Linked DNA regions of Caenorhabditis elegans. The protein of the gene in region 1 purifies or fractionates together with the protein of each later gene. This does not show direct contact. Each region holds a gene or a part of one and is shown on either strand. Other genes may lie near its edges.

The links.
Region 2: the proteins of ser-1 (region 1) and apg-1 purify together in Caenorhabditis elegans (affinity purification with western blotting, with the first as the bait; one study listed by BioGRID). This does not show direct contact.

The regions. Positions count from the first base shown.
Region 1 is NC_003284.9:16,577,873-16,582,781, forward strand, and holds the start of ser-1 (G-protein coupled receptors family 1 profile domain-containing protein), read left to right. Parts: upstream 1-1,872; coding exon 1,873-1,936; intron 1,937-4,053; coding exon 4,054-4,347; intron 4,348-4,909.
Region 2 is NC_003279.8:14,404,079-14,409,309, forward strand, and holds the start of apg-1 (AP-1 complex subunit gamma), read left to right. Parts: upstream 1-1,949; 5' UTR 1,950-1,964; coding exon 1,965-2,026; intron 2,027-2,088; coding exon 2,089-2,293; intron 2,294-2,339; coding exon 2,340-2,464; intron 2,465-3,263; coding exon 3,264-3,960; intron 3,961-5,231. Other genes in the region: tcab-1 (WD_REPEATS_REGION domain-containing protein), read right to left, coding at 794-955, 1,004-1,160, 1,207-1,427, 1,476-1,571.

The DNA.
Region 1 (4,909 bases):
GTAGTAGGTTTATGACGGATTTATTTTGTAAAACGAGCTTTTCCAAAAGTCAGACTTATTTGTGCATTTGAACTGTGATTTAAAATTCAAATTTTTTTCTGACATTTCCACCCACATTTTGATCTATGTAAATTTACAAACATCTATATATAAATATCCTTAATGTTGTTTTTAAATAAACAAGTACATACAAACAGCAATTATTGAAAAGTTGACAAAAGCCATGGATCAGATTTAGTGTTTTGGGAATTTGCTTCAGTACCCTTCTTCAAAGAAACTTTTGAGAAGAAAATCGTCCCTTTCCAAGAAATGTGTCTAAACAGCTTTGTTGAGCCGTTCCAAGGGATATGTTAGAATAGCGATAGTGTTGAGATTTGAAGTATACTAATTTTTCGAAAAGTTTGAAAGCATATAATTTTTTTATTTTTTTTTTGTTGGCAGAAAATTTGAAACAAAAAAAAATAATCGAAGTACCAATTAATCCGAAAGTCTAGCGTAAAGTTTCCGAAAAGGAAAAAAACATTTCTAATCCTAAAAAGTAAGCATATCACCTTAGAAAATGATAAATGTATGTATGTTCAATGTTTTAATAGGGTTATAACGCCCACGTACCAAAAAAATATATTAAAGCCAAATATTATATAATTTTACCTTTTTGAAAATCTTAACACTCTGTATTACAACCCTAAAATGACGGTGTCTTAGGAATTCTGAAAATTTTTTATCCAAATGAAAATTTTCAAAAAATGTGGTTACAAATACCTATATTTCTTAAAGTCTATGGCTTTCTTTTTGTGTCAGATTTATAAATTTGTAGATACACTTATCTTCTCAATTACACAGATAACACGTTCTTGTATGTCTTACTCAGCATTTGGTGGCAACTTCTTGCTTACGTCTAGCCCAAAAATGCTACTTGAATTCAGAAGTTGGTAAAGCTTATGTTTTGCAAAATTGCAGCGCCCGACAATTTTTGAGTTTCGCGCCGTTCAAAAAACTTGGGTTGCATAGCGCCAAAATGAAAGCCCTATTCTTGTATTTTAATGCTTGGCTAACCCATTACAAAGGTTGGATCAAATTTGGACTAAACTAAGGCCCGAACTAAGCCGGTCAACTTCTGACTATAATACTTTCCGGCCACCTAGGAGCGCAAAATTGCTAACAAATTTCTTATTGATTCACAAGTATTTTAATTTCCAATGAAACCCCCAATTTTCACCATTATTATTACTCTGGCATAGTCTCTTGTTGGCTAAACTCATATTTTTTTCTTCTTAAGCCGCCGCCCAGGTGTGATACAGTTTCCTTTTGTTTGTCACTTTTACCTGCCTCTCCAGCTCACCACACCTTTCAACCGAACAGCTTAACTGTTCTTTGCACTTTGTGCAATCCAGAACTGACAATTGAGGTGTACGTATGTAGTAAGATACAAGATATCCCAGTACAGACCTCCCACTTCAATCCCGACACAGCGTTTACCACTGTGACGTTCTCTCTTTCTCTCCGCTCTCCCCTCATTCTGACGTTGTGTTGTTTGCCAGTAGGTCGCGGCACTCATAAAAAAGCTGTTGGAACTCTCGGCGACCTTCTTTTCTTCTGCTCGGCTCCCGGGGGCTCCCATGTGAGGCGCGCCCCGCGTACCATATGATAACGCACTTTGACCACTCACCGCGCCGCTAATGGCCCTTACTTATGCAGGCAGCCTCTTTTCCTGTGTTTTCACACATTTTTCGTTTTGTGACTCCTCTTTTTTCATCTTCTGTTTCTCCTTTCCGCAGTCTCCCTGCTGACTTGGCAATTAGCACTTATTTGTTGGAAAATACGTGAAAAGTGCTTGGTTTTTGTTTCAGAGGTGCACTCCTCTCAACCTAGATGCTCATTGAACTCTTCTCACACAGCGCTCCACCTGAGGATCCCTACTATGTACCTGCAAATGGTAAGTCTGATCAGTTGAACTTTTCATGCGTTTTTTTGGGGATGAACCATAGACAATGATGATGTTTTCGTTTGTGTCGGAATCTAGGAATAGATGCTTCTTGCAAGAGAACAAAAGAATTTGAGGAAGGGGGTGAAGAATTCAGTGGGGAAAAATGGGCGGAAAAACTCAAAAAGTTATGCGCATACCTAACGTGTGTGCATATTCAATCACCGTCTTCCTCTAAAATTTTGACGTCTACGTCTCCGTTTCGTCGCCACCCACCAGATTTTTTTTTCGGTATTCAGTGAAAAGGGGAGCATGATCTCAAAAACTCTAAACTCCCAAAAAAAAATCTGAACAACAGGATCTCACATTTCCAATACATATCCACATAGACAGTGGCGGCGCTTAAAGAAAGGGCAAAAACGGTTTTGTTTGTTTGATGGCTTCTCTCGCTAGGCTGAGTAAATCAAAACCGAAAATCTCTAGCCGTCACAGCCAATACCATAAGAAACGTCAAAGGTCGTACGTGTTAAATTTGATCCTCAATGAGTAGACTGTACCAGGGTCATAAAGGTGATTGGTCGGCGCCTATCCAACAAAACAAGAGCAGCACAATTCAATTTTAAATCCGAATGTTTAAATTTAACTTATTAATTTTGTCTTCGGAACATTTTTAGTAAAATTACGTCATTTAAAAACATTCGAAACCAATTTTACTTTAAAATTTTTATTCTAATATTTTAAGTTTACAAAATAAATAAAAAGCTAAATATAAGCTTTATTTTTAAATTTTTGAGCTGATCCCTACCTTTTCCGTAATTCTATTTCCCATTTTTGAATCAAAGTTTTTGAAACCTTTTCCTTTTCCCGACGGATTTTGTCAAAAAGTCTAGCTCTCAGAATAGCCCGACCTTTTTTTCAAACTGATCCAGCTACAAAAACCAAAAGGAAAAGATTACGAACGGATTAAAAAAAGAGTTGCAAATTCATTAATATGAGTTCAAAAATGGCAACTCATCAAGCGACCGGTTTTTGATGATTAATACTTTCATAAATTGAAACTCAAATGTTTTTGAGTAATTAATTTCTGCTATTATTTTCAAACAACATTCTTCATTTATAATTTATCGCAAATTCGTCTCCCGAAACCCTTAATCATGCATTTTTGTGTTTTTGTTTCTGAAAGAATGACAAAAATTTTCAATAATGCTTTAATAATTTCTGTTGCCAAAAATATTTGTTTGTGGGGGTTGTAATTTTGAAATTCCAGGTGAAAATATTTTGAAAAATCAAGTTCTAGTAGCAAGTTGAACTAGTTTTTTATTCTGAGTTTAACGAACAAATGTCAATTCACGTCAGAGAAGAAATATTTTTGGAACAATATTTTTTTTGGAAATTGTGTAATTTTCACAAAAATTTTGAAAATTTCTGTCCCTGTGTTTCCCTAAAATTGACATAATTTTTGATGAGTTCATTTTATAAAAATTTCTTGATGGTGTAAAAATTATAAAGAACAATAAAATTGTGTTTTAAAGAAAAATTATATTCAAAAAATCTTATTTTTAATTGCTGGGATCTATAAAACTGGGCAAAAAGTGTTGTCTATTTACGTTCAGGAAATCTTGACTAGAACATTTTGCGAAATAGCAAAAACTCAATTCAATAATTTTTTAAAGCTAGTATTTTTTGGAACCATTAACTCGAAATTTGAAAACTGGAACCAAAAAAGTGGGCGGAGTTTCCAAAACGCCAGCAAAAAATCATTGGCAGCTCGTCATACTTTTTTCGCTTTCCTCTCTCTTTTTCTCCCCCCGGCCAGCCTTCTCCTCTCTCCACTGACCTGTGATGTACCTTAACAATTTCAAAACGAACGACACATTCGGAAACATCTAATTTCTCACCCATTTTTTATTATCAGAGAGCAACCAATTGTTGCGTGGGGTAGTGAAAAAGAAACACGTACATACATCTCTTTTCTAGATTAATCTAATCTAGAAAAGGCGAAGGCCGCATCGAAGGCTTCACTTTGATTTACTTTTGTGCGTGCGTCTGCATTTTTTTTTCATTCAATTACAAATTCATCATCATCATCCCAATTCAATCAACCAATTTTTCAACAATTCAACATCTAGAATCATTTGCAACGACGGCGCTCACACCGCACTTCTCCACAACGAGCGTATGGTCGATACGGGTGCAGTTGATCCCGACGATGGGAATCTACCATTTCAACGGTGTCGCCTTGTTTCTGTTGCCGGTGCTTTGTCTGATTGGGTTGATCGGCAACTTTTTGGTGTGTGTGGCAATTGCGACGGATCGAAGGTTACACAATGTCACCAACTACTTTTTATTCTCATTGGCTCTGGCTGATCTTCTGGTTTGTTGTATTGTGATGCCATTGAGTATAGTGGTCGAGGTTCGGCACGGTCAGTGGAATATTTTTGGAATATTTTTTTAATTTAGGGCTAGAAAAGAAAATTCCTATACTTCCTATACTGTTCCTATACTGGAAAATGTACATAGGATTATTGTTTCTACAAAAATTGAAACTGTAATAAAGAAAAGAAAAAACCTCATAAATAATTTTGATCTACCTGTCCCACTGAATTATGGCTTAATTTTGGCTTAAAACTGAATATTTGGTGTCTACACTATATGGCCGACATTTTTTAGGTTACGCGACTTTTTAAATAACCTAAGAAAGACAATTTAAAATGCATTCGGCAGAGGTGAATTGTGTAGGTATAAGGTAGGCGTAGGTAACTTTAAAGCCTAATTTTTTTTGCTGTCATGCAAGTTATAGGGAACAGTGCAATATTTTAGGCTGATAAAAAAAACTTAACCCAAAATGCTTTTTTACTTAATTTTTTACCTTTTTCAATTTGTGAAAACGAATCAGATGATTAATAGGCTATAAACTAAACTATTGTTTGTTTTTTTCAACTTTATTTTTCCCTTCTCCAGGTGTGCAAATACCACCAGCGCTGT
Region 2 (5,231 bases), on another chromosome or scaffold:
TGCAAATATATTGAATTTTTTGTTTAATTTGGTGAAAATACGGGAAATTTTGACTTAAAAATCACTAAAAACGGTTGAAAATCGATTTTGGGTGAGGCTTAGACTACAAACTACAACTTTTTTAGCCTCAACCAGAATTGGTTGAGGCTCAGAAAATTGTAGTTTGTAGTCTAACTTTTATTGATTGTTTTTTATATAAATTTTAAGGGAAATTTTTTTAAAATGTTAAATTCTGAAACTTATCAAATTTGCAGAAAAACGACTATACTACAAACTACAAAATGGTTGAGGCTCAAAAAGTTGTAGTTTGTAGTCTCGAAATGAATTAATAGGCGAAGATTTTAATTTTTCGTGGTTTTTCGAGTTTTTGGCACAAATTTGATTAAAAAGCAGCTTTAATTTGAAAAAAAGTGAAACATTTCTTTTAGAGACTACAAACTACAACTTTTTCAGCCTCACCCAATATTGGTTGAGGCTCAGAAAATTGTAGTTTGTAGTCTGAGCCTCAATCAATGCATTTTTGTTTAAAAAATTAGCAATTTTCAGTTATTTTTAGAGGTTTTTGGCACAAATTTGATTAAAAAACAGATTTTAATTGAAAAAAAAGTGAAAAATTACTTTTAAAGACTACAAACTACAACTATTTTTAGCCTCACCCAATATTGGTTGGGGCTCAGAAAATTGTAGTTTGTAGTCTCTGAGCCTCAACCAATTTTTTTTGGATTTTTATGTAAAAATGTCAATTTTTAAGCATTTTTTTTTCGTTTTTTTTTTTGCAAAAAAAAAAACCAACCCCAGCATCTTTTCCATTATAAGCACCGAGAATACTTCCATTTTCCGTATCAAATAGCTGAATTGGACGCAGTTTTGACGACGAGAACACCCCTTTTCCAGAGTTTTCCCAACAAGAATCCAGCACCAAATTTCCCGTATTATGCTTCCATATCACTTCTGGCTGCAATTTTTAGCGTTATTTTACAGAAATTTTGGAAGAAAAACCGACAGTTTCATCTATTTTATACATTCTTATAAATCTATCCTGTGAAGCCACAAGAGCCCGGTTTCCCTGTTCATTTTGAATGGAAAAGTGCACAAAATTATTATTTTCCGTTGATTTATAGCCGAATTGAGCGTTGTACGAGTTGAAAGTGGCTTTATCGCTGAAAATTTCAGATTTTTTGACTTAAAATTCGAATTTTCAGATACCAAAATGTATTTTTAAGATTTGTGGGGATTTCGGCGATTTCTACAGGTTCTTGAGCTTTTTTCTTGACTTCTTGGTCAATTTCCTGCATTCTCTGGAGTTTTCGCTTCTCTTTTCGATTTAATGGGCGGTTTTCTGGGATTTCTTCGGGAATTTCTTCTGAAGCAGCAGCCTCTGTGGTCGATAGCTCATCGATTTTCGACGCAAGATGGTCACTGCGGAGCTAAAAAGCAAGCGGTTTTTCTTTGGAAAACAAGTGAAATTTAATTACCGAAGACAAAAGCGACGCTATCCCGCATCTTTCAGCGCGGAGAGACGGTTTTTTCTCCTCCAATTCTTGTGAGGACGACGATTCTTCGGTGTTCATCTGGAAAAAATCGATTTTTTTGGCGAAAAGTTCAAGTTTCAGTGATTTTTAATCGAAAAATTGAAAAAAGAAAAAAAACAAAAATTAAATTCCCCCTACTACGGTCTGCAATCGGGTACCTCCACACCAGACCTCACGCGCAATTGCGGACTCGCCCCCTGCGTTGGATTGTAAAATGCAAAAAATCAATAAAATTGCAGTGTTGTCACTGATTTTTCAGCTTTTTCTAGTGGATTTTCGTGATTTTTTGATTAAAAAATTCATTTTTTCACTAATAAGCGTCGTTTATTTCACTTATTCCACTTACTTTCACTGCTGAGCTGTAAAAAAAACTAAAAAACTCCAAAAAAAACGTCAAAAAATGAGGAATTTTTGCAGGGTGAGGCTCCAAGGATGGCGACGGCTGTCGAGCTAGCCATTGAGAAGATCGATGAGTATAAGTCGAAGATTGGAAGGTTTGTAACATTAAAAAACTCAAATTTTTGCGAAATTTCCCCAGTAAATTCTATTTTTTCAGAACTCTCGGCACTCCGATGCGGCTTCGAGACCTAATTCGGCAGGTCAGAGCGGCACGAACGATGGCTGAAGAGCGAGCAGTGGTGGATAGAGAAAGTGCGAATATTCGAGAAAGCTTCCGAGACGATGATTCTCCGTGGAAATGTAGAAATATCGCGAAATTGCTCTATATTCATATGCTCGGCTACCCAGCGCATTTTGGACAGGTTATTGAACCGTTTTTCGCCGGAAATTAAATTATTTGTTATTCAGATGGAGTGCATGAAACTGGTGGCTCACCCCCGATTCACTGACAAACGAATTGGGTATCTTGGAGCTATGCTTCTTCTCGATGAACGATCGGAAGTTCATATGCTCGTCACTAATTCGCTTAAAAAGTTAGCAAAAACCCATGAAAATGAAAAAATCTTGTTTAAAAGCTTTTTTTCTGCGATTTTTCTCATCAAAATTTGATTTTTTGAAGAAAAAGCAATTTTTAAAGGATTTTCAATGCAAAAATGAGATTTTACAGTAAAAAATGCTATAGAAAACAAAAAAATCCGAAGAATTATTATTTTGGTTGAGGCGTAGACTACAAACTACAACTTTTTTAGCCTCAACCAGCAGCTTTGGGGAGGCTGACAAAAGTTGTAGTTTGTAGCCTAAGCCTCAACCAAGATTTTTAACTTGATTTTGCTCATTTTTAGTGATTTTTCATCAATTTTTACTATTTTTCGAGCTAAAATTAGTGAATTTGGTTCTAAAAACTGGAATTTTTGCTTTAAAATTCACGATTTTGCTAGAAATCCAAATATAAAACGATTTCTTCCAACTTTGGTGAGGCTGACAGAAAGTTGTAGTTTGTAGTCTTAGCCTCAACTAATATTTTGCTCATTTTCAATGTTTTTCATCGAATTTTCACTATTTTTCGACGAAATAATAGAGAAATTGGTTGTAAAATCCGGAAATTGAGCAAAAAAGGTGAAAATTTTGCTAAAAATCCAAATTTTAAACGATTTGTTTTCCAATTTGGTGAGGCTGACAGAAGTTGTAGTTTGTAGCCTGAGCCTCAACTAATATTTTGCTCATTTTCAATGTTTTTCATCGAATTTTCACTATTTTTCGATACAATAAAAGCAAAAAATCCCAATTTCCGCGGAAAACTCTATTTTTTAAAACTAAATTCTTCATTTCCAGCGACCTCACCTGTTCCACCCAATTCGTCAGCGGACTAGCTCTCTGCACTCTGGGCTCAATTTGCTCAGCGGAAATGTGTCGAGACCTGGCCAACGAGGTTGAGAAGATCATCAAGCAGAACAATGCGTATTTAAAGAAAAAAGCGGCGCTCTGTGCGTTCCGTATCGTTCGAAAAGTGCCGGAGCTGATGGAAGTCTTCATTCCATGTACCCGATCGCTTCTGGGAGAGAAAAATCACGGAGTTTTGATGGGCGCAACGACTTTGGTCACAGAAATGTGCGAGAAATCTCCGGATGTCTTGAATCATTTTAAGAAATTGGTGCCGAATTTGGTACGGATTCTAAAGAATCTTCTAATGAGTGGATATTCGCCGGAACACGACGTCACCGGCATCTCTGACCCGTTCCTTCAGGTCAAAATTCTGAGATTATTGAGAGTTTTGGGGAAGGATGACGTACGTGTCACTGAAGAGATGAATGATATTCTGGCGCAAGTGGCAACGAATACGGAAACGGCGAAAAATGTCGGAAACGCGATTCTCTATGAGACTGTACTCACGATTATGGAGATTAAGAGCGAGAGTGGCCTGCGCATTTTGGCTGTGAACATTCTTGGACGATTCCTTTTGAATACGGATAAGAATATTCGATATGTGGCGTTGAATACGCTTCTGAAGACTGTTCATGTTGATTATCAGGTTGGATTTTGTGGAAAAAAAAAAAAGGAAAAAATGGCGATTTTGGCTCAAAAATTGAGGTTTTGGCGGTGGGTTGAGGCTGAAAAAGTGTGTAGTTTGTAGTGTGAGAGCCTCAACTAAATTTATTTCATTTTATTTCTGTTGTTAATTTTAATAGAATTTTTTAAAAAATTATTCTGATGAGTTTTCAAAATGAAAATCGCATGTTTTAGTAAAAATTGTCGAGAAAAACAAGTTTTTCAACGAATTTTCGAATTTTGTAGCTTGGTTGAGGCTCACACACTACAAACTACACTTTTTCTAGCCTCAACCAAATTTGGGGAGGCTGTGGAGTTGTAGTTTGTATTGTGAGCCTCACTCAATTTCAGTTCATTTTTTGTTTATTTTAACAGAATTTTGAAAATTCAGTTTTCAACATGAAAATCGCCTAAAACTTGTCCGGAAAACCAAGTTTTTTGACAAATTTGCAGCTTGGTTGAGGCTCACGCACTACAAACTACACTTTTTCTAGCCTCAACCAGATTTGATGAGGCTGTGGAGTTGTAGTTTGTAGTGTGAGCCTCAACCAAATTTATTTTTAGTTTTCTATTCCGTTTTCGACGTGAAACTTAGCTTTTTAGTAAAATTTTGCCTAAAAAATCAGTTTTTCAATAAATTATTCCATTTTGCAGCTCAAACTGTGTAAATAATAATTGGTTGAGGCTTACACTACAAACTACACTTTTTCTAGCCTCAACCAAGTTTTTAGAGGCTGTGGAGTTGTAGTTTGTAGTGGGAGCCTCATTCAATTTCATTTTTTTCCGTTTTGAACGTGAAACTTAGCTTTTTTAGTACAATTTTCCCCCCAAAAAAACCCAGTTTTTCATAAAATTTCATATTTTGCAGGCCAAACTGTCCAAGTGATAATTGGTTGAGGCTCACGCACTGCAAACTACACTTTTTCTAGCCTCAACCAAGTTTGGGGAGGCTGAAGAAATGTGTAGTTTGTAGTGTGAGCCTCAACCAATTTCAGTTCATTTTCTGTTTATTTTATTAAAATTTTTCCGTTTAATACAAAATTTTCAATTTTATGATGAGTTTTCCACATGGAAATCACCTAATTTAATGAAAATTGTCCGGAAAATCAAGTTTTTCAACGAATTTTTGAATTTTGTAGCTTGATTGAGGCTCACGCACTACAAACTACACTTTTTCTAGCCTCAACCAGATTTGATGAGGCTGTGGAGTTGTAGTTTGTAGTGTGAGCCTCACTCAATTTTTTATATTAAGAA